Linked DNA regions of Diceros bicornis minor. The protein of the gene in region 1 purifies or fractionates together with the protein of each later gene. This does not show direct contact. Links are inferred from orthologs where the notes say so. Each region holds a gene or a part of one and is shown in the gene's direction. Other genes may lie near its edges.

Region 1 (7,164 bases):
CTCCTAAACTTTTTTTTTTTTTTACAGGATCAGAATAGTTTGAAACGGGGTGCTTGTCGGTTTCATGTGTGCCTGTGGAAAGGAAAAGAACTCCCTTTCTAGGCACACGAGCCAGCCGGGAGTTCCTTTACCGCCCAGCTTCTTTCTTGGAAGGGAAAGAAATAAGAATGCGATGGCGTGGCGCTGGCTTTCAGGAAGGCTTGGGATGTGAACTGATTCAGGGGATGCCAAGGAGCCATAAAGCAGCACCAACCATTGTAGCTACTTGCCCAGCATCCCACCCATCGTCTACCTAGGGTAGTAAAATGGAGGAGGAAAACCGTGTGTAGAGGGCAACATAGGGGTGACGCCTGAATTAAAATACCCACAATTACACTATATGGGAGCATATCTGTGCAAGTATATGCATGTTCCACCCAGACAAGCTGTGACGTCAGATTCAACTCCTGAAACACCTACTGAACCTACCTGCCCTGTGCGTGCTCTGTCCTCTCATCACAGAGTGTTAGCACCACTGGCCAGATTTCCAAGTCTCCAGATTCTTCATTTAGCCAAGAAGCTTAATTAGAATTATGACATTTGCTTAATCTGTTTATTTAAGTCCTTCCTGTCACTTTGCAGCCTGGCCTAGCCTCTCTTGAAAATTGAAGATCTTCTAGTGAGGCCCAGAGTAGAGAGAGGGAAGGGGACCCCGAGAGGGCAGGAAATTTTGCCCAGAAAGCTTTTAAACCCTGCCAAGTGCTCAACTAGTGGTGAGGGTCACCACTAGTACAAGTTATTTAACCCATGAGTGGCAGAGCCCCAGCCCGGAATCAGGTTTTCTGACTTCTAGTCTGGTATTTTTTCTAAGCCTTTCTAAGGGGAGTATGTTATACATTTCCCACACACCTCAAAAATCTCATTCTATCTCTTCTGCTTTTCCCTGCCAAGGATGATGGGCTCACCCGGGTCCAAACCTCCCTCCTCCATTTTCCCCTGGGCTCCTCAGCTGCGGTCTTTGCAGGCTGCATCTTTAGAAAGTTTCACACAGACACACAAGGTTTCAATGTCCTTCTTGATAAGCAGCATTTTTACTTATAACCAAATTATGATCTTATACAATTGCAGCCTATGTGGCCTTACAAAGTAAATGTTTAGAATGCCCTGTCCTACACACCTCTCTGCACTGCTTGGCGTTGCAGTGTCTTCTAGGTCAATAAACTTCAGGGCTCCCTTGCCTGAAGATGATCATGTAACCAATGTCTCTTGTTTTTCTCTCACATTTATGTCTTCAAAGGTGCTTTTGGTGGGTTGGGGGAGGGGGAGTGGTCCAAATGTTCCTTTAAGTCCTATCCAACTCTGTTGATTCCTAAATATTTATTAAGCATCTATTGCATGTCAGACTCCTTTTAAGTTGCTGGAAGGTAGGGGGCTGAGCTATAAAGCTAAGATTCATCTGTGCCTTTTCCTTTTTTTTTTTTTTTTTTGTGAGGAAGATGGGCCCTGAGCGAACATCTGCTGAGCCTCCTCTTTTTGCTGAGGAAGACTGGCCCTGGGCTAACATCCATGCCCATCTTCCTCCACTTTATATGGGGACGCCGCCACAGCATGACCACTTGACAAGTGGTGCGTTGGTGCGCCCCCCAGGATCCGAACCAGCAAACCCCACCTGGCAGTCCCTGTGCCTTTTCCTTTTAAGAAAGTATAATTTAGCTGGGAAAATGAAAATAGTACATTTCGTCTTTTCTAAAGATTTATTAAAATCCCCAATGAGTTTCATTGTCCTGATCTCACAATTCTAAACGACTTTAAAAAAAATCTTATGTCACTGAATAAGTGAGGTTAGATCACCATGCCAACTAGTGGCCTCCTTAGTACTGATGCATATATATGTAAGTCATTATGTTTCTCAGTACCATCAGCTTTCACCAAGTAAACGCGTTCTCGTCCTTTGCCCTACCAATCCTCACCCATTTTCATGCAGTAATCTGCCAGCTGGGTCTATGCTTCTCCCGAACCCGGGGTTAAGGGATAAACTCTCTGACCCTAAGCACCTTGAAAGCTACGAGACCGTGGAGGGCGCAGAAGCAGGCCCCGCATGCATATGCATGCCCTAGGCAGGTCGGCTCCGAAGGTAACCTTCCCGCGCTGGGAGGCGGGGTGGCGGAGGTCTTCCGGGCTCCGGAGGAAACCTGCCCGCGGCGGGCGGGCAACTCCGCCCCCCCCCCCGACTTCTCCCGCCAGGATGCTGCCCCTCGCAGCTCGTCAGCCAGCCAAATGCATTCCAGAGCTGTACACAAGACACACTTCTCCAGGCAGTCCTAGAAACCCGAGCCCGGAGCGGGAGAGGGCGGGAGGGAGCGCGCGGCCGCCGCTGAGGTCACATTCGCGCCGCCTCCCCGCCCTCGGCGGCCCGGCTGTTCCCTCCAGCGCACACTTCCCAGGGCCTCGGTCCAGTCCGGTGTAAATGTCTTTTAGACGGAGACAGCGCTCTCCTCCCCCTTCCCTCCTGCGCGGCCAGGGGATCCGCCGCCAGGGCCCTTAAAACGGAACGAATGAATGAAGCGCTTAGGGCGAGCGCGCGCGGGACGGCCGCGGCGAAGCTCCGCGGCTGGGTCTAAATTGGGCCACCGACCCGCTCGTTCCGCTCCAAAACTCGCCAGCGAAGCCCGCTCGGTGCTCTCGGGTCTTCCCATTTCTCCTCTGATCCGGCCAGGTCTCAGTCGATTCTGGGAGCTTCTCTGCTCCCCACCTTTATTCGCCCCCCCGTCGTTGGTCCCCCCTCTGCAGGCCCGGGAGGGGGTGGCGGAGGCGGGGGGGCGGGGGGAGAAATAGCTTTTAGAAACCCGATCTGTTGTTTGCGAAACACAATCGCTTTTTTTTTTTTTTAAAGCGACAGGGTGTCTAGACGGCCACGTGACGAGGCCGGAGCCGGGCGCGCCACTGCGCAGTGGAACCAGCAGAGCAGAGGGCCGGGGGCGGGGGGGGGGGGGGCGGGGGGCGGGGAAGAGGCGGCGGCGGCGGCTGGGGGCGGGGGAGGGAAGGGGGAAGAAGGGGGAGGGAAGGGGGCGGGGGCGGGAGGCCTTGCGGGAGGCGGCGAGCCCCGGGCACACTCGCTCGCTCGCTCGCTCGGCGCACGGAGGAGCTTGTCCCCGAGCCGCGCCAGCCGAGCCAGCCGGGCGCCGTGCTCGGTCCGCTCGCTGCGCCGGAGAGAGCTGCGGGAGACAGAGCCAGCCCGCCGGCGCCGAGCTGCCGAGCTCCCGGCCCCGGAGCCCCTGAGTGCGGCGCGGCGAGCCCCCGGCGGCGGCAGAAGGACCCGAGCGCCAGGAGAGGGCGGACGGGGGACAAGGAGGCTCCCGGGCGCGACGAGGAGAGTCTCAGAGGAGGAGGCAGCGTGAGGACACCGGGGCCTCCTGCCGCCGCAGCCGGGTCGGGGCGAGCAGCCCACACGGGGAGCCCCGGCGGCCAGCCGCGGCCAGGGGAGGGGGCGCCGGCGGCCCCCGCACTAGCGAGCAGCTTGCGCCTAGGAGGGCGAGAGCGCGCGACCCGCCAGGGGCCCGCCGCCGCGCCGCCCTCCCCCGCGCTGTCAGCCCCACCGGGCGCAGCCGCCGCCGCCGCCGCAGCAGCATCTTCTGCCTCTGCGCCCCCGCCAGCCCCGAGGAAGTCCCCTCCGAGGACTGGGGCCCCCGGGAGCGCAGGAGGAAAGACCAGAGACTCCCTTAAAACACCCAGATGCGGAGGATTGAAGCAGCCTAGCCAAAGCTTTCTGTGGATTAAAAAAATATACGATTTTTTTCTTTTGGCAGAAGAAAAGGAGAGGAAGACCCGCGGGGCTCTGCAAGGAAAAAAGGGGGATGTAACTCGTGGATACGCTTTTTCCACCCCTCAAACGTCTCGTTCTACTTTGTAAAGATTTTCTTTTTTTAAACCCCAGCTCCAGCCGGACGCCCCCAGACCTCCGGGGTGCGAGGAGGTGGTGTTTTTCATTGGCTTTGCATATTGGGTTCTTAGATTTTGAGAGAGCCTCCTTATTTCGCCAGACATCTCATGCGGGGTGAAGTCCACTCGGCCCCCTCCCCCGAGTCTTCGTGTGCACGGAATTCGAGGAGATCCGGTTACTAAGGATATAGAGGAAAAAAATAAATCGCGTGCCTGCTTTTTTTTTTTAATTGCCTGCTTCTCCCCACCCCCAAATTAAGTTGCTTAGCAAGGGGGAAAGAGGCTTTTTCCTCCCTCCAGCAGCCCAGCCGAACGCCTTTCGTTTTTTGCCCCCCGCGGATCTTCCATGTAGGAAGCTGAGGCTGGCGAGCCCGACACTCGGGAGCCGCTGCGGGGGGGCCTCTTTTTGGGGAGGCGCCGACCCGGGCAGGCTTCGTCCTCCCCAGGGAAGCGGCGGCCGCGTTCCTCCGGGGTGCGCCGGGGCCCGAGAGCCGCGCACGGCGCGGGCCGCGCGGGGTGGGGCAGCCGGAGCGCAGGCCCCCGAGCCCCGGCGGGCGCCCCCGGGCCCCCGCGCTCGCCCCGGCCTCCGGGAGACTGGCGCATGCCACGGAGCGCCCCTCGGGCCGTCGCCGCTCCTGCCCAGGCCCCTGCTGCTGCTGCTGTCGCCTGCGCCTGCTGCCCCAACTCGGCGCCCGACTTCTTCATGGTGTGCGGAGGTCATGTTCGCTCCTTAGCCGGCAAACGACTTTTCTCCTCGCCTCCTCGCCCCGCATGTTCAGGACCAAACGATCTGCGCTCGTCCGGCGTCTCTGGAGGAGCCGTGCGCCCGGCGGCGAGGACGAGGAGGAGGGTGCGGGGGGAGGCGGAGGAGGAGGCGAGCTGCGGGGAGAAGGGGCGACGGACGGCCGGGCGCATGGGGCCGGTGGCGGCGGCGCGGGCAGGGCTGGCTGCTGCCTGGGTAAGGCGGTCCGAGGTGTCAAAGGTCACCACCATCCCCACCCCCCAGCCGCGGGCGCCGGCGCGGCCGGGGGCGCCGAGGCGGATCTGAAGGCACTCACGCACTCGGTGCTCAAGAAACTGAAGGAACGGCAGCTGGAGCTGCTGCTCCAGGCCGTGGAGTCCCGCGGCGGTACGCGCACCGCGTGTCTCTTGCTGCCCGGCCGCCTGGATTGCAGGCTGGGCCTGGGGGCGCCCGCCGGCTCGCAGCCCGCGCAGCCGCCCTCGTCCTACTCGCTCCCTCTCCTGCTGTGCAAAGTGTTCAGGTGGCCGGATCTCAGGCATTCCTCGGAAGTCAAGAGGCTGTGTTGCTGTGAATCTTACGGGAAGATCAACCCCGAGCTGGTGTGCTGCAACCCCCATCACCTTAGCCGACTCTGCGAACTAGGTAAGAAGTTGTTCTGTGCCCACCTTCCCCTCCCCCTGGCGCTCAAGCGGTGGAAGAAAAGCCCCTGCGGGCTGTGTTTGTGCAGCCACCTCTCTGGAGGGGAGTGTACATTCCCTCCTGGGAGGAGACTTGGGCGACCAAAGTAGAGAAGGAACAAGGGGAAACTGGAAGGGCATTCCCTGGGGGGTTCCCTTCCAGTTTTTTTCTCCTCGGTTGCTCCGAGGGGGGCTTATGGGCACTGCTCGTGCACACACTCTACAGACGTGTGGCTAAAAATGAGACGCTCTCATTTCCGGATCAGTTCGGGGTGCAGAGAGAACTGGGGGTCACGCCTCCCCCGCGCCCGGAAAGGCGTTGAGGTGTGTGGCCGAGTTGGATTCGGTCCAAGCCCGCCAAGGAAGGCTGGGAGAAGCGAATCGTAAAGGCTGGAGAGCCTCTGCTCCTTTAGTAAATAAGGAGAGTCACGTCGTGCACAAGTGGCCCGGATACTGCCCTGGATGCGCAGCTTTGGGGTTTTGGGGCAAAGAGGGTGAGGGAGGGAGGGAGGCCAAACTGGATATCTACTCTCAACTCTGCCAGCTCAGGGTGGAAAAGAACAAGCAGTCAGGAGAAGTTGCGTGTCCCCTGCTTTTTCCTTTCTTTCAGCACAGGAAAGCGCAGACTATGGAACTGTATAGACTGTAGGTCTGCCCCCAGCGCCTCCGTGACGTTGCTGCCTCTTAATGCGCTGGGGCCTGGGCTTCGCCGCCAAGACCCCAGCCTCCTCCTCTTTATCCTTCCAGCTGCCTCCATTGCTTCCCTTTTCTCAACGTCTCTGCGGGGGGATGGGGGCGCGGGTGCATCCTGGGCGCCCACAGACCCTCCTACGTTCACCAGCGCTCTTGGGGCGCGCCTCCCGGGTGGGCTGGGTAAGGGGAGCCCCGCGTTCCCCGCGCGGGCGCGGAGCGCAGCGGCGGGGGCGGAGGTGAATTGCGCCCCTGGGGGGCGGGCCTGGGCGGTGGACAGTGGGAGCGAGGCTGAAGTTCGGGGACGGGGAGGGGGCTATGTAGACCCCCGCCTTGTGAACTGTGAAGTGCGCGGCCGCGGCCGAGCCGGTGGTTTCCAGCCGGGCCGGTGGAGCGCGGCGGCTGCGGCCGCAGACGTGGAGGAGCGGAGCGCCGAGGCTGGCGCCAGGCGGCCTCTTTTGTTTATCTGACAGCTAAATATCAAGGCAATCACCGCCTCGCGGCCCTGCCTCCAACCCCCACAGCTAAGACAAACAGTTGGGCTAAAAGAATGCCTCTGTTATCATAAGTTTCTATCTCTCTTTCTCATGGCCCGGCCTTTATTTTCTCTTACTTTTTTAATTCCAGAGTCTCCCCCTCCTCCTTACTCCAGATACCCGATGGATTTTCTCAAACCAACTGGTGAGTAGATGATTTTAAAAATATCCTTCCTATCTTAAGTTAGAAATGGAGCCTCTAGAACCAAGATTTTTATGTCTAGGCAGTGGCTTTGGGGAGGCGCTGGGTCTGGTCGGGGGTGGTTATAGGTTTCCTCTGTTGGAAGTTTGGTGGATTTTTCCTGTTTTTGTTGTGGCTGGAGATATGTATATATGTTTAGGGGGGAGGCAGCGACGTTTCCTAGATATGCTTTACATTTTGTTCCTTTTTCGTGTGTTTGCACTCCGTGGCCAAAGTTGGCTCAGCTTTAACACGTGGAATTTGATCCACGCAGAAGTATCCTGGGAACCAAATAGGACAGGTTGATGGGAAAATGTGGAGACTCTGGGAGTGCCAGAAGAATGGGTGGGAAGAATGGATAGTTTGATGGAAGGGAAGACAGTTTAAAAAAGTGCAGAGAGGACCGTGGCCTGGAGTGAG
Region 2 (7,414 bases), on another chromosome or scaffold:
AATGATCAACTTAGAACTCTATAGCCAGTGAAAACACTGTCCAAAAATAAGGATTAAATATAGACGTTTCAGTCAGGCAAAAACTAAGATTGTTTGCCGCCAGCCAACTCTCGCTAAGGAAAATTCAAAAGGATATCCTTCAGGCAGAATGAAAGTGATTTCAGATGGAAAGTCTCAAGGTAAAAAGAAATGAAGATCAGAAAAAATGGTAAAAAGGGTTTCAAAAACGGCCACACGTATTCGTCTCTTGGGATCCACGCCCCTTTGCAAGGTGATTTTGTAGCTCTTTTTATCAAGAGATGGAGTCTGTTTCCCCACCCCTTGAAACTGAGCTCAGCTCAGTTCATGCCCAGACCACTGGGATGTGGCGAAATGATGTTGTGCCAGCTGTAAACGTGCACTCATTATCCTGGACCCCTGAACTGTCGTGTTAACACGCCCAGGCAAGCCTGCTTCAGCATGAAAAACCCCGTAGAGGAGCTGATCCAGACCATTACAGATCTGTTCAACTCCCAGTTGACCTGCTAGCTGACAGCAGACTCATGCGAGCTCGGCTGAGGTCAGCGTCAATTGGCCCAGACCAGAAAAACTGCCCAGCCTACACAGAGTCTCATGAGGAACACATGGTTATTATTCTAACCACTAAGTTTTCAGGTGATTTGTTATTCCATTAGGAGCACCAAGAGCTAGCAATAGACAATAATGGTATAAGTCAATAATATCCTGTGGGTTAAAAAATAAGATAGAAATAAAATACACAACAATGATAGCATATGACTAGAATTGAAGTGATTTAAGGTTAAAAAAAAAAAAAAAACAGAAGAGGAAGATGTTTATTTTTCTCATATAGTAAGGACTCCAGGGTAAGCATTTTAGAGCTGGCACAGTTGCTCAAGGACTTTATCAAGGACCCAGACTCTTTCCACTTTTCTCTCTACTATTCCTAGTTATAGCCAACATCCTTATGTTCACAAGATGGCTGCTGCACCTCCAGGCAATGCAACTGTGTTCCAGGCAGAAAGAAGGTGAAAATGTGATGAGTCTGTCTCTTCTTTACAGGGAAAACAATATCTTTCCCACAAGCTCTACCCGGTAAACTTCCGCTTATATTTCACTGGCCAGAACTCTGTCACATAGCCATATCTAGGTGCCAGGAGCCTGGGAAATTGAGATTTTTACCTAGGTGAACTGCTTTCCTAAAGGAAATGAGGATTCTGTTATAAAGTGAATGTAGGAATGGGTATAGATTAGGCAACCAGCAGTCTTTGCTCTCTGTTTGGGAGAAAACATCTTACTTAAGGGAATAATCCAAAAGGAAAAGCAGACAATGTACTCAGTATAAAGATTGAGAGGTAGCATCACATAGGGGACAAGGTCCTGGAGTTCGTCTCCTAGTCCTGGCTCTGCAGCTGACTTGCTGGGGGACTGATCCTCAGTTTCTTCTCCTTTAAATCAAAATGTTAGAATAACAAACCTGTAACTCTTTTTGAGAGCCCATAGAGACCGTGAAGGGAATTAACATTTATGATAGAGTCTTCATGTGCTATATAGGTCATTTAGACCTTACAACAAATCCATGAGTCAGTGTCATTATCCCATTTCACACCAGGAGATGTGAAACCTCAGACAGATCAAGCAGTGTGTACAGATCCCACAACCCGTAAATGGCAGAGTTGGAATTCCAACTAGGGTCTGAAGGCTTCCAAAGCCAGAGGCTTCTTTCCATCACCCACAGTTTCTCAAAAGGTGAAATAAGTGCGTACATTTTTATTTATTGAATTTTAAGGGCATACTTTCTAAAGCACTGTCTTTCGAAGTGTGGCCTGGTGACACGTGCAACAGAATCACCCGGGGTGTGTATTACAAATGCAGACTCCTGGACCTCCTTCAGATGAACGGAAGCAGCCTCTCTAGGGCTGACACCCCGGAATCTGTATTTTTAAAAGCTCCCCAGGTAATTTGGAGACATTTTAAAGTTTGAGAACCATGATTTTAAACTTATAATTTATTATTCCATTCTAAGGTAGTTTATTCATGGATCCGTGGCTCATGGAAATTTCCTCCAAATATTAGGAAAATAAAATTTAAAAATAGCCTCTTTCTCCTTCCTGTTCCTCAGTGTCCTAAGGAACACTCCATTGCATGGAAAATGTTAAGGAACTGGAAGTGTGTCATAGAAGATATCCTAACGCTGATTAACTGAGGCTCTGCACGGCAAAGGCTTGGATTAGCATGAACACGCATGCTGATTAGAATCATACAGAGCTGGAAGGGGATGGGCAAAGGAAATGGCATTAACTAAATATTTACTATATTCCAGACACATTACGTCATTTAAGGGGCCTAAGACGTGTGATTCAACCCCTTTCATTTATAAATGGGGTAGGTACCATTATATTTCTGTTTTAGAGATGAAGAACCTTGTAATGAGAGAACAGTCACTTGTCCGAGATGAATCATTCATTCATTCATACAATATATATCTCTTGAGCTCTTATGCAAGACGCTGAGAATAGAGCAGCAAAAAAAGCAGTCTTGCGACCTCAGGTGTCACAAGGCCCTGAATGACCCACCAAGTCTCCACTGAAGAAACTGGAACAGAGAGAGCAGACTGGGACTGGAGCCGGCCAGAAGCAGTCTCTCCTGGTTTGGTCAGCCTTCTGCGGCGGGCGAGAGGAAAGCTTGCTGCTGTTGTCTCCAGCAGCCCTGGAGAGCAGGCCGTGACCTGGGTTTTAGCAGTAGCTGCATCCCTGGGGAGGTGGTTCAGTGTATACCAGGCCCTCACCTCTCCAGAGGGGCAGGTGAGGGGTCTGGAGGGAGGGCCTAGAAGTGGAACTTGAAAGCGGGATGTGGAACCCCCAAATCTCATCATATCCTCTCACTTACCTTGGGAGATAGATATTATTTCCATTTTATAGATGAAAGAATGGAGGCTCAGAAAGGCCAACTGACTTGTTTAACTGTCCCAGCCCGGAGGGGAATAGGGCAGGTCTCAGATCCCAGCTCCACGCCGCATCCTGTCGCTTTGCAGCTCAGAAGGGAGGTCTTCACAGGCAGGTAACAGGCTCACGGGGTCGCGCTAAAGTAATTGACAAAGCGATGCTAAGGGCTGGTTCCGATCCCTGCTCCCAAGGTTTATTTCATTCCAAGTTCAAATCACACAGAAAATAAAATTTTCTCCTTAAAAGGTTCTGTGGAAAAATGTTCTGTGTTCTCTGTAGCAGCCTCCTTGGCTGTGTTTGCGTCTGAAGAGAGGACTAGTCTGACAGGAAGAATTACAAATCTGGAGCTCATTTTGGCGTCCCGGGGGGAAGGTGGGTGGAGCGTCTCACAGTCAAGTAGGAGTTCAGAATGAAAACGTAGCCGAGGTTATTTGGGTTTCCAGCGACACCTCAGAATTATTGTGCAGGCGTGTCAGAGGCAGCTCAAAGTAATGACTGCTCCTCTCCGCCCCGGGGGTGCTGCGTGCTAAGAAGGGGAATCCCCCTCCTTTGGGGGGGGGGCCTTCCCTTTCCCACCTGGATCAGGGAGGGGTAAGAGGGAAGGAGTGTGGTTTGGAGCGCCGTTCTGGGTCTGCTCTGAGTTCCGGAGGGAGGCGGGAGGCTATTCGGGGGTATGTCTGAGCTTAGGATGTGAGGTCTGAGGCTGGGACCTGAGGCCAGGATTTGAGGACTTTCTGGGCCTGGAATTTGGGGGGCGGGGAGCCTAGGTTGGGGCTAGACGCTGACAGTGGGAGGAAACAGGAGACTGAGTCGTCTAGGAAGGGCAACGACGAAGAATCTTGGGGGGGATGTTGAAAGTTAAGGCGTGGATCTGGGGAGCGGAAGTTGAAGCCTGCCGGCGGTACTGCGGGTCTGGGTGAATGGGGATGGGTGGTGCAGGGCTGTGAATGGGGGCCGGGGCGGCGCTGGGTCAGTCCCAGATCTTAGGCGCCTAGAGGAGGCTAGAAGAAAAGAGCGTCGAGCCGCCACAGCCCTTTTCCGAAAGCGCCTCACACACGCCCAGACACACCCATCGTCCCGACCTTCCTCCGGGACTGGAAGGTCGCAGGGCAGGGGCTCCCTAGACCCCGGCCCCACCGAGCCTGCTCCCAGCGGCGAGCGGCTCCGGCCGGGACCGGGGTCTGGCGGCACGGCGCCCCGGGAGCGTGGGGGCGTGGCCAGCGGCCGGGCGCCTGCGGCCCCGGATTGGCTGCCCGGCGGGCCCGCGGGCGGGGCTCCGGGCTGGGGCCCGCGCGGCCGCTCGCAGACGGCCGGGGGGCGTGGCCGGCGGGAGCCCGGCAGCCAATGGCCGCGCGTCCCCGGAGCAGTTACAAAGGGCCGGAGCGAGGCCGCCGCGGCGGCGGGGGAGGTGGGGCGAGGCGAGGCTTGCTGAGGCGAGGCGGCGGCCGGGCCGGGCCGGGCCACAGGCGGTGGCGGGGGGGACCATGGAGGCGGCGGCCGCTGCTCCGCGTCCCCGGCTGCTCCTCCTCGTGCTGGCGGCGGCGGCGGCGCTGGTCCCGCGGGCGGCGGGTGAGCGGCGGCGCGGCGGGCGGCGGGGCGCGCGGGCCGGGCCGGGCCTCTGGCTCGCTCCTTCCCTTTCTCAAACATGGCGCGGGGCCGGGGGCGCAGGTGGCGGCGCCGGGGCCGGCGCTGGGCTGTCCCGGGCGGGGCGGGGGCGTGTGTCCGCGCGGGTGGCCGTGCCCGGCAGCCGCGGCCGCCCCCGCTCCCGGGGAGGTGCGTCGGGCGGGGCCGTCCGAGTCGGGGGCTGCCCTCTGAGGGGCGGTGGGCGCGCGCCGAGGGCCGGGGGTGTGAGGCTGGCGGGGCCTGGGGCTGCTCCCCGCGCCCCCGGGGTACCCCACCCCGAGCGGCGGGTGCGAGGCGCCCGGGCGGGGTCGGGGTCGGAGCCTCCAGGCTTCCCCGCGCGGCGGGCGGGGGCGACGTGTGGTGGAGCCCCGGGGTCAGCGGGGCCGCCCTGGCCTTCGGCGCCGGCCCGACCCCGCCGAGGGGGCTGCCCCTCGGGCCGGGCGCGGCTCCGGGGGGGCAACTGCGGAGCTTCGTGTGAGGAGGAGCAGGAGGCACGAAGATGTGCGGAGGGGCTCTCCTTTCGGGCGTCTGGAGGGGTTGAAGTGGATCCGGGAATCAGAATGGTGCAGATTGTTTTCGTAGTAGAAACTTGAACGTTTGCTCACTCTGCGGCGTTTGGAGTATTTGAATGGGAACGACTCTGTGAGTTGATCAAACGCTTTTATTTCCTCGAAGGAACGTCGCTAGTGATGTTCCCTTTCTTGAGTGACAGTAGTTTGAATCAGTCGTCTGTGTAGCTGGTTTTCAAGGGAAAATGTTTGCTCCGTTTTCCGGAATATTAAATCAGGATGGGGTACGTGGTCATCACCTACCGTCGTGCAAGGAGGAACTAAAAACTTTGTTCGCATCCAAACTAAGATAGTCGAAACTAAAATAATAGAGCCTTAGCGTTGGAAACTAAAATACAGTGAAAATACGTTTCTGTTTCTGAAATTGAATACCAGATATTTTAAAAAGCAAAAACAAAAAACTCAAGACTGAGGGTGCCAATTATTACTAACAGCTACTGTCTGTTAAGAGCTGACTATGATGTAGATGCATAAAGTACACCGAAGTACATTATCTAATTCTCACAACTAAGCCCTCAGGGCTAGTGGCATTTGCCCCATTTTATAGATGAGAAAACTGAGGCAGGGGAGAAGTTAAGTATTCAATTACTAAGAGCTGGAGTTAGGGTTTGCACCCAGGGTTCAGTATTCCAAAACCTGTACAAGCTTAGTATATACACCTAACCGTCCTGCATAGCCCATTTTTCTTTTTCAGTCCTGTAACGAGCAGTTGATCTTTATTATTCACATTTAGATTTTGCTCTTGCAATTTGAAAATCAGGTTGGCTTCTTTCTGATTCCTACTGCATTCTTGGAGTCCCTTCACACTGGGCCTGCATTAGAGGAAACAATGGATTTTGGACATTGGCCTAAGGAGGCAGGCAAGATGAATATGTGGACAGCAGGGAGAATCAATATAGTTATGAGTCAAGCATACATAACATTTCCACAACACCATTAACTCAAATAGTGTAGTTCACTCTTTTCCACCTAGCCTAGCACACAGAGTGTTCAGGTATTCAAATAACAGTATTCCCCTTAGTTGATGGACAGATTGCTGAGTCCGCACCCTGGAGGAGCTTACACACTGCACTGGCATGCATGCAACACAAAGCTGATACAGGTGCTGTTGCTTTTGTCTGGACTACCTCAGCTGGTCTGCCTGGCCTCGTTTTAAGAGCTTGCAGTTGTTCCTTATTGTCTGGGTTATCAGTTTTTTATTTCTCTGCCCAGCTTCTGCTCTCTCCCATACAGATTTCTCTAGGAACATGGGTTCCCTGTTCCTGGTACACAGTTTAGTCCCACTACATCTATGTATATAACCCATGTGAGAATGTTGTTTGCTTCCTTTCTGCCATTTCATAACTTTTTTCTTTGAACACTTGCCTAAAACTCAACTCTTCTTTATATTAATGCCTCTTGAATGTCTCCTCTTTGTACGCAGCCATCACTTTAGGCTGCCTGTTATCCCTCAAATCTAGTTGCTTCCAGTGTTTCTCTCATCTAGGCTTTTCTATAGGCTACTGCTAATCTTCCTCAGCCATCCCATAAAGGGTTTACAAGATTTCCCATTTGTATTCAGCAGTTAGAGCAGCGCTTGAAGCTTATGATTAGGGCCATCTCTGAGTATCCAGCCAGAGCTCACTTCTCACTACTGCAAGCCCTCAATTCCAGCAATTTCTGTCTTCCCTCTGACTCCTGACTTGGCAGCTTTCACTGTATACTTAATTTTGCCGCTTCTGGGAGTATGAGGAGAGAACTCGATCCTGACTTCCTATACTGGTTTAGTTCCTGAACTTTCCATTTCCCTGAGCTGTATAGCACTTACAGTTTGTGCTGTCCATTTCTGCTGTCTTGCACTGTTACTTAACTATACTCTTGAACATGTGATAGGTACCGAGAGGGCAAGAGTCATGTCTTTTATTTCCTTTATGCTCTCAGAACCTAGCACTGTGGTTTATATTTTGTTCCACTTAAATGCTTGTTCATTAAGTGAATTGCATTTGACTGAGTATTCCTTTAGTATTTATACTGTTATATGTACAGTTCATGTGATATTAATTGATAATTCTGTGTATAGAATCAGGAAAAGTCGTATGATGTGGTGAAAGAAGCAGTTGGTTATTAGCTTTGGTTATGAGTCCCAACTTCACCTCTAGTTGTGCAGAAAATGGGGACGATACCTGCGTTTCCTAATTCATGAGAGCATGGAGATCAAATGAGAAAGTCATCTTGGAGTTTGAGGTTGCTATTTGTATGGGTAATAATAGGTGGGGCTGATGTTCACCCAGCAATTCCACT
Region 3 (7,085 bases), on another chromosome or scaffold:
TCTGCTGAATGGAGCCACCAAGCAGCCAAACGCTCAAGTCAGATTATCCCGGAGTCATAGAGGGCCATCCCCTTTCCTCCTCACCTCCCACATCCAATCGGTCTTGTGGTTTCTACCTACTTAAAATCTCTTCAACCTGTTTCTTTTTCCCATCTCTATTGTTGCTGCCTAGGGTCGGGTCCTCCTCCTATCTTGTCTAGGCCACTGGAATTGCCTCCTCTCTGTCTCCTTCCCACCTGTCTTGCCTTCCTCCAACCATTTGCACAAAGCTCAAGTTCCTTTGGTTCAGCAAAGCGGTCTTTCTAAAACACAAATGTGATTTTTACCTCCTTGCTTAGAACCCTTCCAAAAATACTGGAGAAAAGTACACTTTCAAGCGTACTTCCATGTCTGTCTATCTCTCCAACACTACCTTTCAGCTCAAGGCTCCTTCAACGAGCACCCTCTGGGTGTGCCGCCATGTTGCTTACGGCTCCCCCAAATGCCAGGCAATTTCACCTTGGTATTTTGTCCATACTGCTCCCTCTGGCGGGAATAATCTCCTGCCGTACCCTGCCCCAAACAAGCTTGTCTATCTAGGCAACACTCTTTGATATTCCAATAGTCAGTTGTAGCATGGCCTCTTCATGAAACCTTTTCCACCTCCTTAGCTTGTCCCTGCAGAGTTGAATCATCCATGCCCTCCTGAGTGCCCCCACTTACCCTTTACATGTGTGTGCTATAGAATACATATAACACACTGTTGGTTTTTTATTTTTCATGCTCATCTCTGTTAGATTGTAAGTTCCATGAGGGCAAGGACCATGACTCATCCATGTTTGTATGTTGTACCTGATATCCAGTAGGTGCTCAATAAGTACTTGTAGAATAGATGAATGAAGATGAGCTACTGCCCTCTTGGGATTAATGACCCTGCTGCTCGCCAAGGCAAACTGTGCTGAATCCCCCAGGAGGTGGGGTCTCTTGGTGCATTGTGACCAAGATGGCAGCTGTAACACCGGATGGTCTAGTCAGTGGAGCCTGGGGAGTAACAGCAGGACGGACAAGTAGTTCATAGACTGTGATGTGGGTCCAGGCCTAAGATTAAGGAGGCTTTCAGAAATGGACACTTTGCTGAGGGCTTCAGGGATGGTAGGAGAACCAGGCTGTGGGAGGAAGCAGAGGGAGATTGGACAATCTGTCTCGGTGCAGCTTGGGACCTAAAAGGCAAGGTAGATGCATCATCTAGGAAAGCTCTGACTTGAGGAGATGCCCCAAACTGTCAGGAATAGGGTGTGAGGGATACTACTACCCCCCCATCCCCCACACCCCATCAAGTCTAATTTCCCACCTTCACCTGGCTCTTGAAGACCAGTCCCTGGGAAAGCGTGAGATGCTGTGATGTTGAAGAGGCACAGGTCTAGTAGGCTGTGGCTTCTACACTTAATTATATGTGAGCGTGGGTAAGTCGCTTACCTTCCCTAGGTCTCAGCTGCCTCACCCGTAAATTGTGCATACCCTGACATGCCTCAACCACGTCATAGGATTGTAGTAAAGGTCAAATCATCATCATCATCACAGCTATTCTTTTTATATCACTTCCTATGTGTCAGAGACTATGCAAAGGGCTTAACATACAGTATCTTCATCCATCCTCACAACATCTCTATGAGATAGAACCATCATCAGCTCCGTTTTACAGATGAGTGAATCGAGGTTTAGGGAGGTAACACATCTTGCCCAAAGTCAAATGCTATCAAGTGAGCTGATGGAGCTGGTGTTTGGTCTGTGGACGCAGCATTCTGGTTTCCTGGGCTATATTCAGGTATGTGGCTGACCTTGCAGTCCAGGAGTTAAGTAACCACAGGTCCCCTCTGCGATTCCTGGTCTCACAGCCACAGTGGCAGCACTTAGCAAGGTTTAGGGAAGGTCAGTCACTTGCCCTTGGCCTCAGAGATGTGCTCCTGAGCGGTCAGCTTTCCCTTCCCCACTGTAGGGGTAGGTGAATGTACTGTGTTGAATAGTGTCCCCTCAAAATTCATGTTCACCTCGAACCTGTGAACGTGGCCTTATTTAGAAATAGGATCTTTCCATGTCAACAAGTTAAAATTACTTGAATTCATACTGGATTAGGGTGGACCCTAATCCAACAACTGGTGTCTTCATAAGAAGAGAGAAATTTGGATACAGAGGTACAAACACAGAGGGAGGACGGCCACGTGAAGACAGAGACAGAGATTGAAATTATGCTTCCGCAAGCCAAGGAACACCAAGGATTCTGGGAACCACCAGAAGAAGCTGGAAGAGACAAGGAAGGATTCTTCCCTAGAGCCTTCAGAGAGAGCATCGGCCTGCTGACACCCTGGTTTCAGATTTCTAGCCTCCAGGACTGTGAGAGAATAAATTTCTGTTATTTTAAGCCACCAGTTCGCGGTACTTCGTTCTGGCAGCCCTAGCAAACTAACACAGTAACCTAGCGCCCTGCCTTCCACAGCTGGAAGCCCTAAGGGTGGGTGGAGCGGAGCTTAGGAGACCAGTTAGAGGGACCGGGGGGGGGGGGGGGGGGGGGGTGCCCATTGTGGGGATGAGGGAGAGCAGTAAAAAATAAGGTGTTTACTCATCCAGCCACACTGACGAACTTGTAGACAGTGCCTCTGCATGACTTGGCACGTGTGTTTGTGTGTGAGTTGTGTCGGGGGAATGTGTCCGTAGTCTTTTCTCTGGATGTGAGGATGGGCCTTCTTCAGGTTGGTGACAACTTATAAGGCGAGGATTCCTTTTGAGAATCCTCCCCCGCCTTTGGTCATTCTCCCCACGCATAGATCTCAGATGAGGAAATTCAGCTGAGAGAGGTTAAAAACTTGCCTAAGTTTTCACACCAGTTAGTTAGAAAAGGAGAATTCAGCCACAGAATTCTGGCTCCACAGACCTGCCCTTTTCATGATCTCAAGCTCTTTCTCAAGCTAAAGAAAGTGAACTCCTTTCAAAAAGATACGGGTGATTTAGTTTACCTTTTATAATAGAAAGTAACACTTGTTTATTTGTAAAATATTTAGAAAATATTGAAATGTTTAAAGAAAAAGTAAATAATTAATCTGGCGATAACTGATCATATTGAGTCATTTCCTTTCATTTTTCCTTCCACATAGATACATATAATCAACAAAATTAGAATACCGTACATAGTTTTGTATTTTGCTTTTTCATTTAACATTATCTCATGAACATTTTCTCATGTCCTTCGTTTTTATAAACATAATTTTTAATTACTAAATAATGCATCATCATATGGATGGGCCATATTTTAAGTTGTCCATTATTGCCTACTTAAGTTTCCAGCTTTTTACAATAATAAATATGCAACAGTTAACATTTTTCATAAATATCTGTCCTTGTCTCTATTATTTCTCGAAGACAGGGGATAATACAGGGTCAACGGGTATGAATATTTTAAGGCATTTGATATATAATGCCAAATTGTTTACCAAAAGGGTTCCACCTACCAGCACAATGGGAGTGCCTCACACAGCACCCTCGCCAAGATTGAGTACTATCATTAACAGCCTCGGTGTGTTCTGAAAAGGGGCATCCCATGATTCCATCACACAGGTTGCTCTGCGTCCAGAGGACTGCACGGGGCCAGACGGGGCAGGGAGACCAGTTAGGAGACGGTGCCCATGACCCCGGTGGGACGTGATGGGGGCTTGAGGCTAGGCAGTAGAGATGAAAGGAAGGGAACGCACCGGACTCATAGAACACTGGATGCCGGGGGAAGGGGGTCGGTGCAGATAGAATAACTATGCGCTATGTGGGGTGCAGGAGAGTGCTGAGGCTGCGTGCCCGGCTCGGCCTCCTCCGCGCCGCACTCGGCACCCACCCGCGAGGTTGGCCGAGGCGCGAACCCCTCCCATCCCTTTAAAGGGACACTCCCCTTTAAGGCGGGCGCTTGCGCGCACCCGGCCCCGCCCTTCGGGGGCGCGCGCGGCGGCCGCGGCGCCGGCTCCGGCTCCGCCGGGAGCGCACGTGCCGGCGCCGGGCGGAGGAGGAGGGGAGGCGCCGGGGGCGCGCGCGCGCGCTGGGCGCTGCTGGGCTGCGGCGGCGGCGGCGGCGGTGGTTACTATGGCGGAGTCGGCCGGAGCCTCCTCCTTCTTCCCTCTTGTTGTCCTCCTGCTCGCCGGCAGCGGCGGGGCTGGGCCCCGAGGGATCCAGGGTGAGTCCTGGGGCGGGGGCCGGGATGGAGAGGGCCGGGCGAGGGCGAGGCCTCGCGCCGCGGCCCCTGGCTACAGCGCGCCCCCTCCCCACGCGCACAATATGGCCGGGCGGGGGTCGCGGAGGAGTCCGGGTGACCCTCAGTCGGCTTCCTCTGACGCCCGAGGCGCGGCCGCCCAGCCGGGACCCAGCTCACGCCGGGCCCCTGGACACCCTAGTCCCCTTCCAGGCGGAGCTGGATTTGGGGAGCTCTCGGGGGTCGCTCTCCCAGCACCCCCATGTTCCATAGAGGGGAGTGCGGGCTTCCTTCCCCAAGATTTGCAGATCATCTTTCTGTCCCTCAGCTTGTTCGGGGGCGGGGGTCTTCATTCCCTCCCTCTAGATGCTCCTGGGGGGCTCCTTTTCTCCCGCCAAGATTGTGGGGCTTGGGCGATGGGGTCGTTGCTTGTCCGAGGTATCCTGATGTTGAGAGGCCTTGCGCTCCTCAGATGATAGGGGAAGGGGTCTCTAACCTTTCCCTTCAGATCTTGCACTTGGGGTGTCTCTTCCCCTCCCTCTCCTTCCTCCCTAATCTTCTGGGAAAGGGAGTCACATTTCCCCTTCGCTCAGTCCCTTGAGTTCAGTGGGGTAAAACCCCCACCTCCAGGACTCATGCCCTGTGGAAGCTGTTTGGAGGAAGTGAGACGAACAGGCCCCTAAACCTTTTTGGAGCTTGCTCTGGAATCTCTAACCCTAGGAAACCTGGTTCCAGAACGGTTAATCTGCATCTAGGTGTATTTGCTTTCCTTCTCGCCTCGCCCACCCCACCCCAGGGGGCCGATTCAGTTAATCACTCTGTGGATGCCTTTTCAGGTGAAATCCTAGAACCTGCCTCCACCCCCCAAGATTATTTAAAGATCCCACCACTGGACCGTCTTCCCGGGCCTTGGTCAGTACTTACCTTCCCACACAATCCCTCTTCCCAGCCCTTCCCCCCACGCACTCCCGCACTCTCATACACCCCTTACCTTCCAACCCCCACAGCCTTCTGCTCCCTGATACCACCCCCACCCTGCCCACTGTAGAGGTGGGTACCTTTCTGTGGGACACTCAACTGGGTGTGTTGTTTATGAGGCTTTGGGGGCTGAGAAGAGCAGATGAAACCCTAAAATATTTAATTTAAGAGAGTCGTCTCAAATGTGTTTTGGCATTGGGGTGGCAGATGAAGGTTATATTTGGCAGTTATATTGAAGTGATTATTGACCCACAGATTGATCTGGGAGAGATGATAAGGATTGTATTCGCTCCTGATGTACAAAGCCTGCTACTGCTTTGACTTCCCAGCTGCCCCTAGCCTTCCAGCTAGGGGAGATCAAGTGTGTGTTCTGTGGCTCTCCTCGCCACTAAAAATGATTCTCAGGTGGATTCAGTCTTCTTTAATAAACCAGACAATCAAGGAAAGACATCATTGTACTTTGGCGTCTCAAAAACAAGTTCATTGTCTCCACGTTTGATATCTGCTCCCAGTGGTGCAGCCTGTGCAGAGGGGTCTTTGTTTACTGGCTAATGCTTCTGTTAAGCACCTGGTGTGTATTCCTGGGTCTCGCTGCTCTGTGGTGTGGGTAATATGCCGTGGGGTCTGATAAATACAATGAAGGTGGATGAACACAGCCTGACATTTGTTGTACGAGAATGGTTTCCATGAATAATGTTTGCTGGGCCTTCTGATGGGCCATGTTTTTGACATGTATAACGTAATGTTATTTCTCTAGTGAGGTAGTAAATAAGGGGACTCAGCCTTCAAGTTTGATATTTTATATGTGTATGAATAAATCTTTAAATTCCTTCCATAGGACTTTTTATCCTATCTCTGATATATCCAAGATTTCTCACAGCCATTTCCCTGTTGATTTGGTGTAGTGCCTATGGGTTTTTTCTTGTTGGTGTGAGCCTAGTAAAGAATGTTTAATTGATAATCCAACTGGTTCTGAATGGGGCAGAGTTCATTTGTTGTAACCTTCCTAAAAAGGATGTTTGTTGGGGTGAGGATGGGTGGGCATGATAGGGAGTTAGTTTCTTTTTTTGGTAAATTGGAAATTAGGTTGTGTGTCCAGCAAACATTCTCGAAGGCCTTTAAACTTCTTGGCCAGACACTACAGTTTTTTCCGGGACACATCTAGTTGCCAGTAGTGCATGCTGCAGAGACCACTGTTGCAAAAGGCTTAGAGTAAACCGTCAGTTCTGGGAAAACAGAGGCTGTGGGATACCAAGAAGTTGATTGCTTTCCTCCCCTGCACTGCCTCAGTCAGGCTCCGCTAGGTGGGCTGGGGGAGTGGCAGAGCCTAGCGGCCCTGATGCCTGGCAATTGGACATGACATGAGGGCAGCTAGGATGGGTGTTTGTATTAATTAGTGAACTAACAGCAACTTAGCAAAAGGCCAGTGAGAAGGAAAATGAGTACCAGGTTATAAACAACATCCATTTGATAGGTGTACCGTGTTTTAAGGCCTAGCTTTGGAATTTTCACATTGGTGTTTAAAAAGTTAAAATTGAATTAGTTAGCAGGAGAACATGACATTCATTTCTTAAAGACAAGAGCAACAAGGGAGATGTGAGGTTCTGATAGGAACATTTTGAATTTCTGTGAACAGACTAAAAATCTCATTTCAGGCCAAGACTTGTAATTTTGTTGAGTGGACATGGGTTCGAAGTACAGTGCAAGTGAACTGTTGTAGAGAAGAAGAGAATCTCTGGTTAGTTTTGTTACAAGATGGAACAGATGTGATTAAAACATAATAAAATGGCTACTCTGGTTAAAGGTTAGAGCCAGATGGAGGGAGGAGGCTGGTTTTCAGCCCTAGAACTTCGCTCCCTTACCAGTTATCCTTGAACAACCTTTCTGTGACTGCCTCAGTTTT
Region 4 (7,743 bases), on another chromosome or scaffold:
AGACTATTGGATTTGTTTATCAATTCAATTCAGTTTAATTCTATTATCATTTAGTGTGTATCTACTATGGAGTAGACTGACATCACCCTTCAGGCTAGTGTCAGCTTTCATAGCAATTTGTGTGTGCTTCCATAAAAGAAAATATAAAGTAGCAACTTTATATTACTTGATTATTGATTGAACTTTGATTATTAATCAAAATATAAAGTAGCAATTCAGATTAATCAACTCAAATTAATCAATTTGAAGACTTCATGCCCATGTTAAAATGAAACTTTCCAGGTCCTTTAGGGTAGGAGATGTAATTTTGTTCAAATATTTTAATCTAAATAACTTTAGTTGGGTCAGACAGTTCCTCGGAGTCCCCACAACTCCTTGCTATCTTAGAACGGATTTGCTTCACCCACTTACGTAGCTCTATCTAACCCTTGCAAGCCTTTGAGTTTCAGCCCTGGAAGAATCTAATCACTTCATTTTATAACGAGAAAACTAATGCCCACAGGGATTAAATAACTTGGCCAAGGTTACCCAGGTAGTTAGTGGCACCAAGCCAGAAGCAAAATCGAAGTATACTGGCCCTTTGTACAAGACATTGTATTCATTTCACTACTTTTTCTTTCTGTTTATCAGGACCTAACATTTGTCTGAAATAAAGAGCCTCTGTGTGTGTGTGTGTGTGTGTGTGTGTGTGTGTGTGTGTGTATATATATATATTTTAGTTTTAAAAACGGCATCGTGGCACTTACAATTTTTATTCATATCGCAAGTTTCAAAATCTCATTAATGGATTAAGCACTTTACTACATGCTGTTTTGGCATTTGCACTACGCCCCCGCTTCCACTGCCTTTTAGCTGTTCAGAGAGCTAGTCAAGGGAGGAGGGAGTTATAAAATTACGAAAGAGAAAAGAATGAAGGGCTTAGAGAGGTGAACAGGAATGGGAGGTGCGGTGAGGGGGTAATCAGAGGGAACAACTAGAGGAAGAACAGGGAAGAAGGATAAAGGGAAACAGTGGTTCCTGAAGACCAAAGATAGGAAGAGTTGAGAAATAAAGACAGCTAGGTCATCAATCATTGTTCTTTTAGGGAATGTGTTGATTCTGGCAGATTTTTCCCTAGATTTGTGTAGCCAGCGCCATACAAAACTGTCAAGTAGGCAAAGGTTGTCTTGGAATTCTCCTTTGTACTTTCTTCCATTCAACTCTATTAAAAAACACAGTGTTCTTTCTTCTTTCTGTGGTCCATCCCAGGTTGAAAACTGCCTCTCATTTGACTCCTCAGTTGTAAGCCTGACTCTCTCCTGGAGTGTTTATATTTGAAGTCCTATCTTTTAGTTGTGGAGTACAAGAACCTCTCTGAAAAAGATCACTTACGTATCAGCGAGCTGAGAGGGGAATTATTTGAAAGATGAAGGGATCTTTCCCAGAGTATCTCTAATTTCAGAACCTACTCCGCCTTTATGTAAGGTGCACTTTGTTCATATCCAGCCTAATTTCTAAAGCATCCAGCACACTCCTTTTCCTTTCTCAAAGCCCTAAGTCAAGTTTTTAATGGACAAGAAGGGTACAGAAAGTCTGAGAAGGTAATGACAATCACCAAACAAATAGTACATCTTTATAAAGTTAACTAAGCAATCAATGAAGCATCAATGAAGACATTACCACACAAAATTGGGGTTCTCTTGCCTGATATGCATTAAAAAAACAATTAATTATGGCATCAGCTTTTGGGGGAGAAATCAGCTTTATTCTGCGAGATTGATCTGCAAGGAGAAGGGGGCATGTGCCCTCAGATCTGTCTCCTGGACTCAGGATTTGGGGCAAAATTTAAGTGGTTACGGAAACAGATTGGCATGCGGAAATGCTGGTGGGACAGATTTTGATTGGTGGGCTTCAACCATTTATGGTAAGGTTCTAAACATTTATGACAGCATTCTAAACTTTTATGATGAGTTTCTCAACTTATATGATAGGGTGGGGAAGGAATTTTAACACCGGATCTTCCTGAATGAGGGACTCCTCACTTCTGATAAGAGTCTGACTTTTAAGTTCCAGTCGTGTTCTGATCCTTTGGTTCCATGCGGAGGAGGATCCTTGGTTCCATTGTCATTTCAGGTCAAGAATTCTTCTTCTGCGCATACTCTGGCTACACGACTTTGCAGATTTTCTGAAAGACAATCCTTAATCACTTTGTTGATAAGAGATGGGGTCTGCTCCAACTGGCTCTAAGTGTGCCTGTGGTTACAAAGATGCTCAATAAAAATAAGCAGATATAACCCCAGGTTTATATTCAATTATCTGGGTAATTTAAGGGAAAGTAACATTTCTCATCAATTATCTACTTAGTGATTCAGTAGCGATGCGGACCTTAATTTAGTATTTATGAACAACACCTTATCTCTCTTCATAATTGAGGGTAGAAGAAGCATTAGTAAAACAAGCAGATTTCCATAAATTAGTAAACTGAGGTCACTAGAAAGTTGATTGCTAGAATCAAAATCATAAAGGTCAGTGGAAAAATAGAAACTTACCCAAACCTTCTAGATTCTGGAGCTAGACTGCTCATTTTCAAATTTGGGTTCTGCCCTTGGCCTCAACTCCCCATCTACAGAATGGAAATTATAACATCGACTTTACAGGGTTGCTATGAGGATCAAGTTAATTTAACACTTTAAAGTGTTTAGAACTGGGCTTGGCACTCTTTAAGTGCATGTTAAATAAAATACTGTAACTATCAGTTCTTTTCTGACTCCGAATACATCTAGTTAGGTCAACAAAATGACCTCACAAATCTGACATATAATTCAAGTTGACATTGAATTTACACATCTATATCCAGTTAACTCCTTGCCTTGAACATGGTGCAAATGAAGAAAAGTTATTTTAATTTGTTGCACGGATACAGGCTTCAACATTTCAAAAATGCATTTTCTTTGAAAGGAAACTGAACAGCAGAGTGTGCTTGAGGCATCGCTTCTTGATAATGTTATGTGTATAAATGATAGAAAGCATGGTTTTGCCTTCAAAGTCCATAGTGCTCTTTTTCAACAGCTTTATTGAGATACAATTTACATATGATACAACTCATCCTGTCAATAGCAATGCTAGTGTTTATTAATTGGCTATTATGTCCCAGGCAATAAACACGTTGTTTCATTTAATCTTCATAAAAATCCTGTAAGGATTTTTACTGTCCTCAATTTTATGATTAAACTAAAAGTTAAGAACTTTGCAGCTAGAGGTTGAGATGAGGTTTGAACACACGTTCATATGACTCCAATATTCTTCCCATACTATGCTGCCTCTCTTTGGAAAATTAGTTTGCTCTCTTTCAGAGGTTGGGTGGGAAAGGGGGGAAATGTGATGGTATTCATGGTAAGAGAAACTCTAATTTCTTAACCTGTCAGAAGTCAAATAGTATAAGAAATAGCAGTAACTAGAAACTGTTTTCAGATTCTCAAATCAAGGATGACATAATACAAAATAGTATTATTTTGAAGAAAATAAGCAACTATAACGCTGATGCATACAAATCATAATGCCAACAAACACTACTGTAACTTGGAAGGGTTCAGGACTTCGTACTAGCATAATTACACCCATCATTCCCACCAAATGAGCTGAGGCAGACATTAAAATGGGGAAACAAGAGAGATCATCCAGGAATTCTTAACCATCTTTTAGACTTCCCACATCATCTATGTTATCTTAATAGAGTCAAATCTCTGAACATCCTCATGTTGCCAAAACTCATTTATTAAACAAACAAACATTTAGGTGGTTCTTACATGTTAGGCAGCACTGTGCTAGCCACCGGCTGTACAGAGGTTAAAAAAAAATGGATCCAGTGCAGCCCGGTTTACATTTTAGTTCCGATTTTCGCAGGGAGAGGTAGTGAGTGTGCTGTAGCGAACAGATAGCACGTGGGCTTCGGAACCTGGGGTATAAACTTGCCTCTCCACTTACGGTATGACCTTGGCATTTGATTTTTGAGAGACTCGATTTCCCCATTTGTAACGTAATTGGCTTCAAATAGCTGGTGTTATTATCTAGTTTCAGGCGCACACACCACGGGGAGTTGCGGCCAAGAATACGTCGCTTTATGACATCGAGGAGAAAGGGTTTCTCGCGCGTTTTCTTCCCCTTCGGTACTCCGCATCATTCGATACCTATCTGACACCCTGTCCGCCGAGGAAGTGGGACGTGTTTTCACCGCGGCTGGCGGTCTGGGTGTGCCTGGGGAGGCGGCACAATGACCTGTGGCAGGTCCCCGCACAGCAGGAGCAGGAGCGCTGGAAGGAGCCCAGGAAGGGCACTGCGGCCAGGCGTTCGGTTTCGGATCGTTCTTTGTTTGGGCCAAGATTCAGCGAGCTCGCACGAAAAGCCCAGAGTCACGGAGCTGTCGAAATGTTCTGCCATGTCCTAGCGTCCCCACGCCCCCGCCCCACCCACCGTGAGCGTGAGTGAATGCGCAAATAAGGGCGTTCGGGCGTCTGTGGGAAAGAGGGAGGGGAGGCAGAAGTCGAGGACGGACGGGGCGGTGGCACCGCTCGAGCGGGAGCGGACCGGGGCCCCACGGCGGAGAGTTAGCGCCGGGCGGGCCGGGCCGAGGAGGCCGAGGCGAGCTGCTGGACGGGCGGGGGCCGGTGGGGGGCAGCAGACCACAGCAGCGCGCTCAGCCCGCCCCGGGGCCGACTCTTGTGCCGAGGCGCACCCCCCACCTTCCGGCTCTTTTGGTTTCGACTGCCGGCTGGGCGGGGCCGCGGGACGCCATTCCCACAATGCTCTGGGGCGTGCCGCCGCCGTCGCCGCCGCCTCCGCTGCCGCTAGTGGAAGAAGATGGCGGAAGGCGGAGCGGCGGATCTGGACATCCAGAGGTCTGACATCGCGGCTCTGCTCAAAACCTCGCTCCGGAAAGGGGACACCTGGTGAGGGAAAGGGGCTGAGGTGGCCGCGATGGCCCGAGGATGGTGGGGAGCAGGGCGGGAACTGCGGGCTGGTGTCTTTCGCTGGTGACAGGTGCGGGCAGGTCCGGCGGCGGCCGCTCTGGGCAGCAGGATTTTGGCCACTCCCGAAATGTGGGGGCAAAGATTGGACTCGAGATGAGGCCCGGGGTTGGTGGCCTGTCGGGGCGTGCTGAGAGGCTTGCGGGGAGCGGCGGCGGCGGCTCCTGCGGTTCTCCCCGTCCTCCTTCCTCCGGAGTGCCGCTCCCACCCCGGGCCTTCCCGGACGATGGGCTTCAGCCGCTCGGCGTGAGTCCCTCAGGGTTTGACAGGTCCCGGTGCCGCGGCGGGTCACGGGCTCACCGGCTTCGCTCCTCCAGTCGTTTCCTTTGCCGGCCTCGTCGGCATCCAGCTTCCCTATTATTCGGATTCTTGTATTCTTCCGGGAGGCAGGCTGCAGGATGTTTGCGGCTCGTACTACACAGGTGGCATGTGTCAGGGCGCCACTTCAGGGAAAGAAATCCTAGTTTCCAGTTCCTTGTCAAAAGGAGGGAGAGGAGTAGGGAACCTCGGGCTGCTGAGCGATACCACGTGGTCTTGTGCTTTAGTGGAGGCTCGAGAGAAACCGGTAGCGTTTCTCCTGCAAGTGCAGTCCTTCCCTCCTGTTTGAGGGATAACGTAGGCCTGCAAAAAGTAGATAAGTCCGCTTGAGGCTTAAGTCTCTTGCCAGTATTCAAACTTGTAGAGTACCAAAGGATATACTTAAAATACTGAAGGAGATATGTGGAGATTTTAATACTTGTCGGCCGTATCAAGTGGTATCCGGAATAACTTCGATGTGTGAATATGTAACATAAAGGGAAGGTGCTCTATTAGGAAAGATAATGTGCCTCTTTGTTATAGTAAAAATTATTTTCCCTTCCCAGTGTCACCGTAACAGGGGTATATAGTTTACAGTATTTTGTCATGTACTCCAGTATGGCTTGGTGGAGAGAGCATAAGACTTAGACCTGAGTCAGGCCACCGTTCCAGCGCTTAACTTGCAGTATGACTTTGAGGAAAGTTAATTTAAATCATTGCACCTCGGTATCTTCATCTATGAAATGGACAATAATAATTTCATTATAGGGGTTTTATCTACATTCGGTGAAATATTCTAAAAGATTTTTCTATTTATCACATTAGATTTTAGTTACCTTCTTATCACCACCCTTTACTTCTAGAAAAATGCCCTGGGATTGGGATAATTTTCAAGTAAGCTAGTAGATGGCAGACTTGGGACTTGAATTGAAGTACTTTGATCTAAGTCTTGGTACTTTTTTCCCCACTTCATTAGGCTGCATACTATGTTTATATGATAAAAATCTCTAAGGGTGTAAGCATATACTTCTTGCATTACAGCAAAAAATATGATTTAATAATCGTTATTGTTCATATTGGAGTGTTCCTAAGATGTTTGTTACTGTGGGGAAATTGGACATTTCCTATGACATTTATGTTTACGACACATGTTTATGTTGGCCTGTGGGTTGTTAAAGAGGAAATCAACTCCTGCTTCCTATTGTTTGTTAAAGAACACTTAAAAATTCCTAATTCACCTACCCTATTAACACCTCATGAAAAGACAAATGTGGATTTCCATAAAATAGAAACCTGTAAGTTTAAATCTGGGTATGATTTATATGGATATTGCTTCTCTCTAATGTTATGTTTTTGGTATACTGAGTAATAATTGGTGTTGTTAACATTACAGGATGATAGGAGCAATTTGTGTATTGTCGGCATTAAACTTTGTAAAGTTTGGTATTTTTCAAATGAAAGTCTTTTCGCTTTTTGACAGAGTTACTGTAAATCATTTTAAAGATCTATTTTAGAGATTAAGTAAATACAGGAAGTCCGTAAATTTGAGTGATTTCAGTGCTTTCATTTTAAAGAAAAGGAAACTGAGGCTCAGATATTTATGTAACAGCAGAATGTGCAAATTTTTACCCTCACGCTGATTTCCCCTCCTATTTAAAGGGAAAAAGAAAGCAGGAATGAGATGGTACTGGTGAGTTGGAGAAACCAGTTTGGTTTATATGTGAGCCACTTGCAATTAGCAGGTGAAACTAGTCGAAAAAGGAAATAGTGTAGAGTAAAAGTTTGATTCACAGTTTTAAGGAAAGTAATTTGGTAACTACAAATTTGACAGTGTCTTCATGTGTACAGAACTGGTAAAAATATTTAATAATTTGGTTGTTGAGCTCATGTTTTTGGAACTCTTTAAAAAGTTATTTCTCTTTTTAACGTCTTTAAAAAAAGTCTCTGGATTAGTCATTTCTGGGTCTTTTGGCAAATCCTATCTGTTATTTTATAGCTGAAATGGGTCATATGCAAATGGAACATTGTCTTGGTATATATATATACACGTATATATAAAACCATCTTGGAAAGACTGATTGGTCTATTTAAAAAACTGGTAGGTTGACCATAAGTTTACTCTTGGAAGTTTAATACTGATGTTTTAATGTTATAGTAAAATGCATTAAAATGAATAAATTTCATTAATTAGTTTGTGAGCACTTTTCAAATAAGGACTGTCTTGTAGTACTCTGGTAACTAACTCTAACATCTAGGCAAGGGTAAAAATTTGATTCTGCATGAATATTAGAGTTTCTGTTTATTTGTAAATAGTGAATGATTTTTAGCTGCAAACTGACTTTCTAGAGATAAAAATAAGTTACAAAGTCTGAGATGAGGAAGAACAAACTTTATGATATGCTTGGTACTAGATTTCATGGTGACAGAAAAGTCAAAACTGAGG

Evidence for each region.
Region 2: the proteins of SMAD7 (region 1) and TGFBR1 purify together in Homo sapiens (affinity purification with western blotting; 19 studies listed by BioGRID). This does not show direct contact. The link is inferred for Diceros bicornis minor from reciprocal best matches to the Homo sapiens genes SMAD7 and TGFBR1.
Region 3: the proteins of SMAD7 (region 1) and ACVR1B purify together in Homo sapiens (affinity purification with western blotting; 3 studies listed by BioGRID and IntAct, with this or other methods). This does not show direct contact. The link is inferred for Diceros bicornis minor from reciprocal best matches to the Homo sapiens genes SMAD7 and ACVR1B.
Region 4: the proteins of SMAD7 (region 1) and USP15 purify together in Homo sapiens (affinity purification with western blotting; 3 studies listed by BioGRID). This does not show direct contact. The link is inferred for Diceros bicornis minor from reciprocal best matches to the Homo sapiens genes SMAD7 and USP15.

Annotation. Positions count from the first base shown.
Region 1 is NC_080755.1:41,553,822-41,560,985, reverse strand, and holds the start of SMAD7 (mothers against decapentaplegic homolog 7), read left to right. Parts: upstream 1-4,159; 5' UTR 4,160-4,689; coding exon 4,690-5,302; intron 5,303-6,654; coding exon 6,655-6,708; intron 6,709-7,164. UniProt on the Homo sapiens protein: Antagonist of signaling by TGF-beta (transforming growth factor) type 1 receptor superfamily members; has been shown to inhibit TGF-beta (Transforming growth factor) and activin signaling by associating with their receptors thus preventing SMAD2 access.
Region 2 is NC_080767.1:9,159,036-9,166,449, forward strand, and holds the start of TGFBR1 (TGF-beta receptor type-1), read left to right. Parts: upstream 1-4,411; 5' UTR 4,412-4,426; coding exon 4,427-4,511; intron 4,512-5,094; exon of another isoform or gene 5,095-5,207; intron 5,208-7,414. UniProt on the Homo sapiens protein: Transmembrane serine/threonine kinase forming with the TGF-beta type II serine/threonine kinase receptor, TGFBR2, the non-promiscuous receptor for the TGF-beta cytokines TGFB1, TGFB2 and TGFB3.
Region 3 is NC_080756.1:18,121,303-18,128,387, reverse strand, and holds the start of ACVR1B (activin receptor type-1B), read left to right. Parts: upstream 1-4,070; 5' UTR 4,071-4,098; coding exon 4,099-4,189; intron 4,190-4,700; exon of another isoform or gene 4,701-5,116; intron 5,117-7,085. UniProt on the Homo sapiens protein: Transmembrane serine/threonine kinase activin type-1 receptor forming an activin receptor complex with activin receptor type-2 (ACVR2A or ACVR2B).
Region 4 is NC_080756.1:7,670,019-7,677,761, reverse strand, and holds the start of USP15 (ubiquitin carboxyl-terminal hydrolase 15), read left to right. Parts: upstream 1-4,739; 5' UTR 4,740-4,836; coding exon 4,837-4,925; intron 4,926-7,743. UniProt on the Homo sapiens protein: Hydrolase that removes conjugated ubiquitin from target proteins and regulates various pathways such as the TGF-beta receptor signaling, NF-kappa-B and RNF41/NRDP1-PRKN pathways.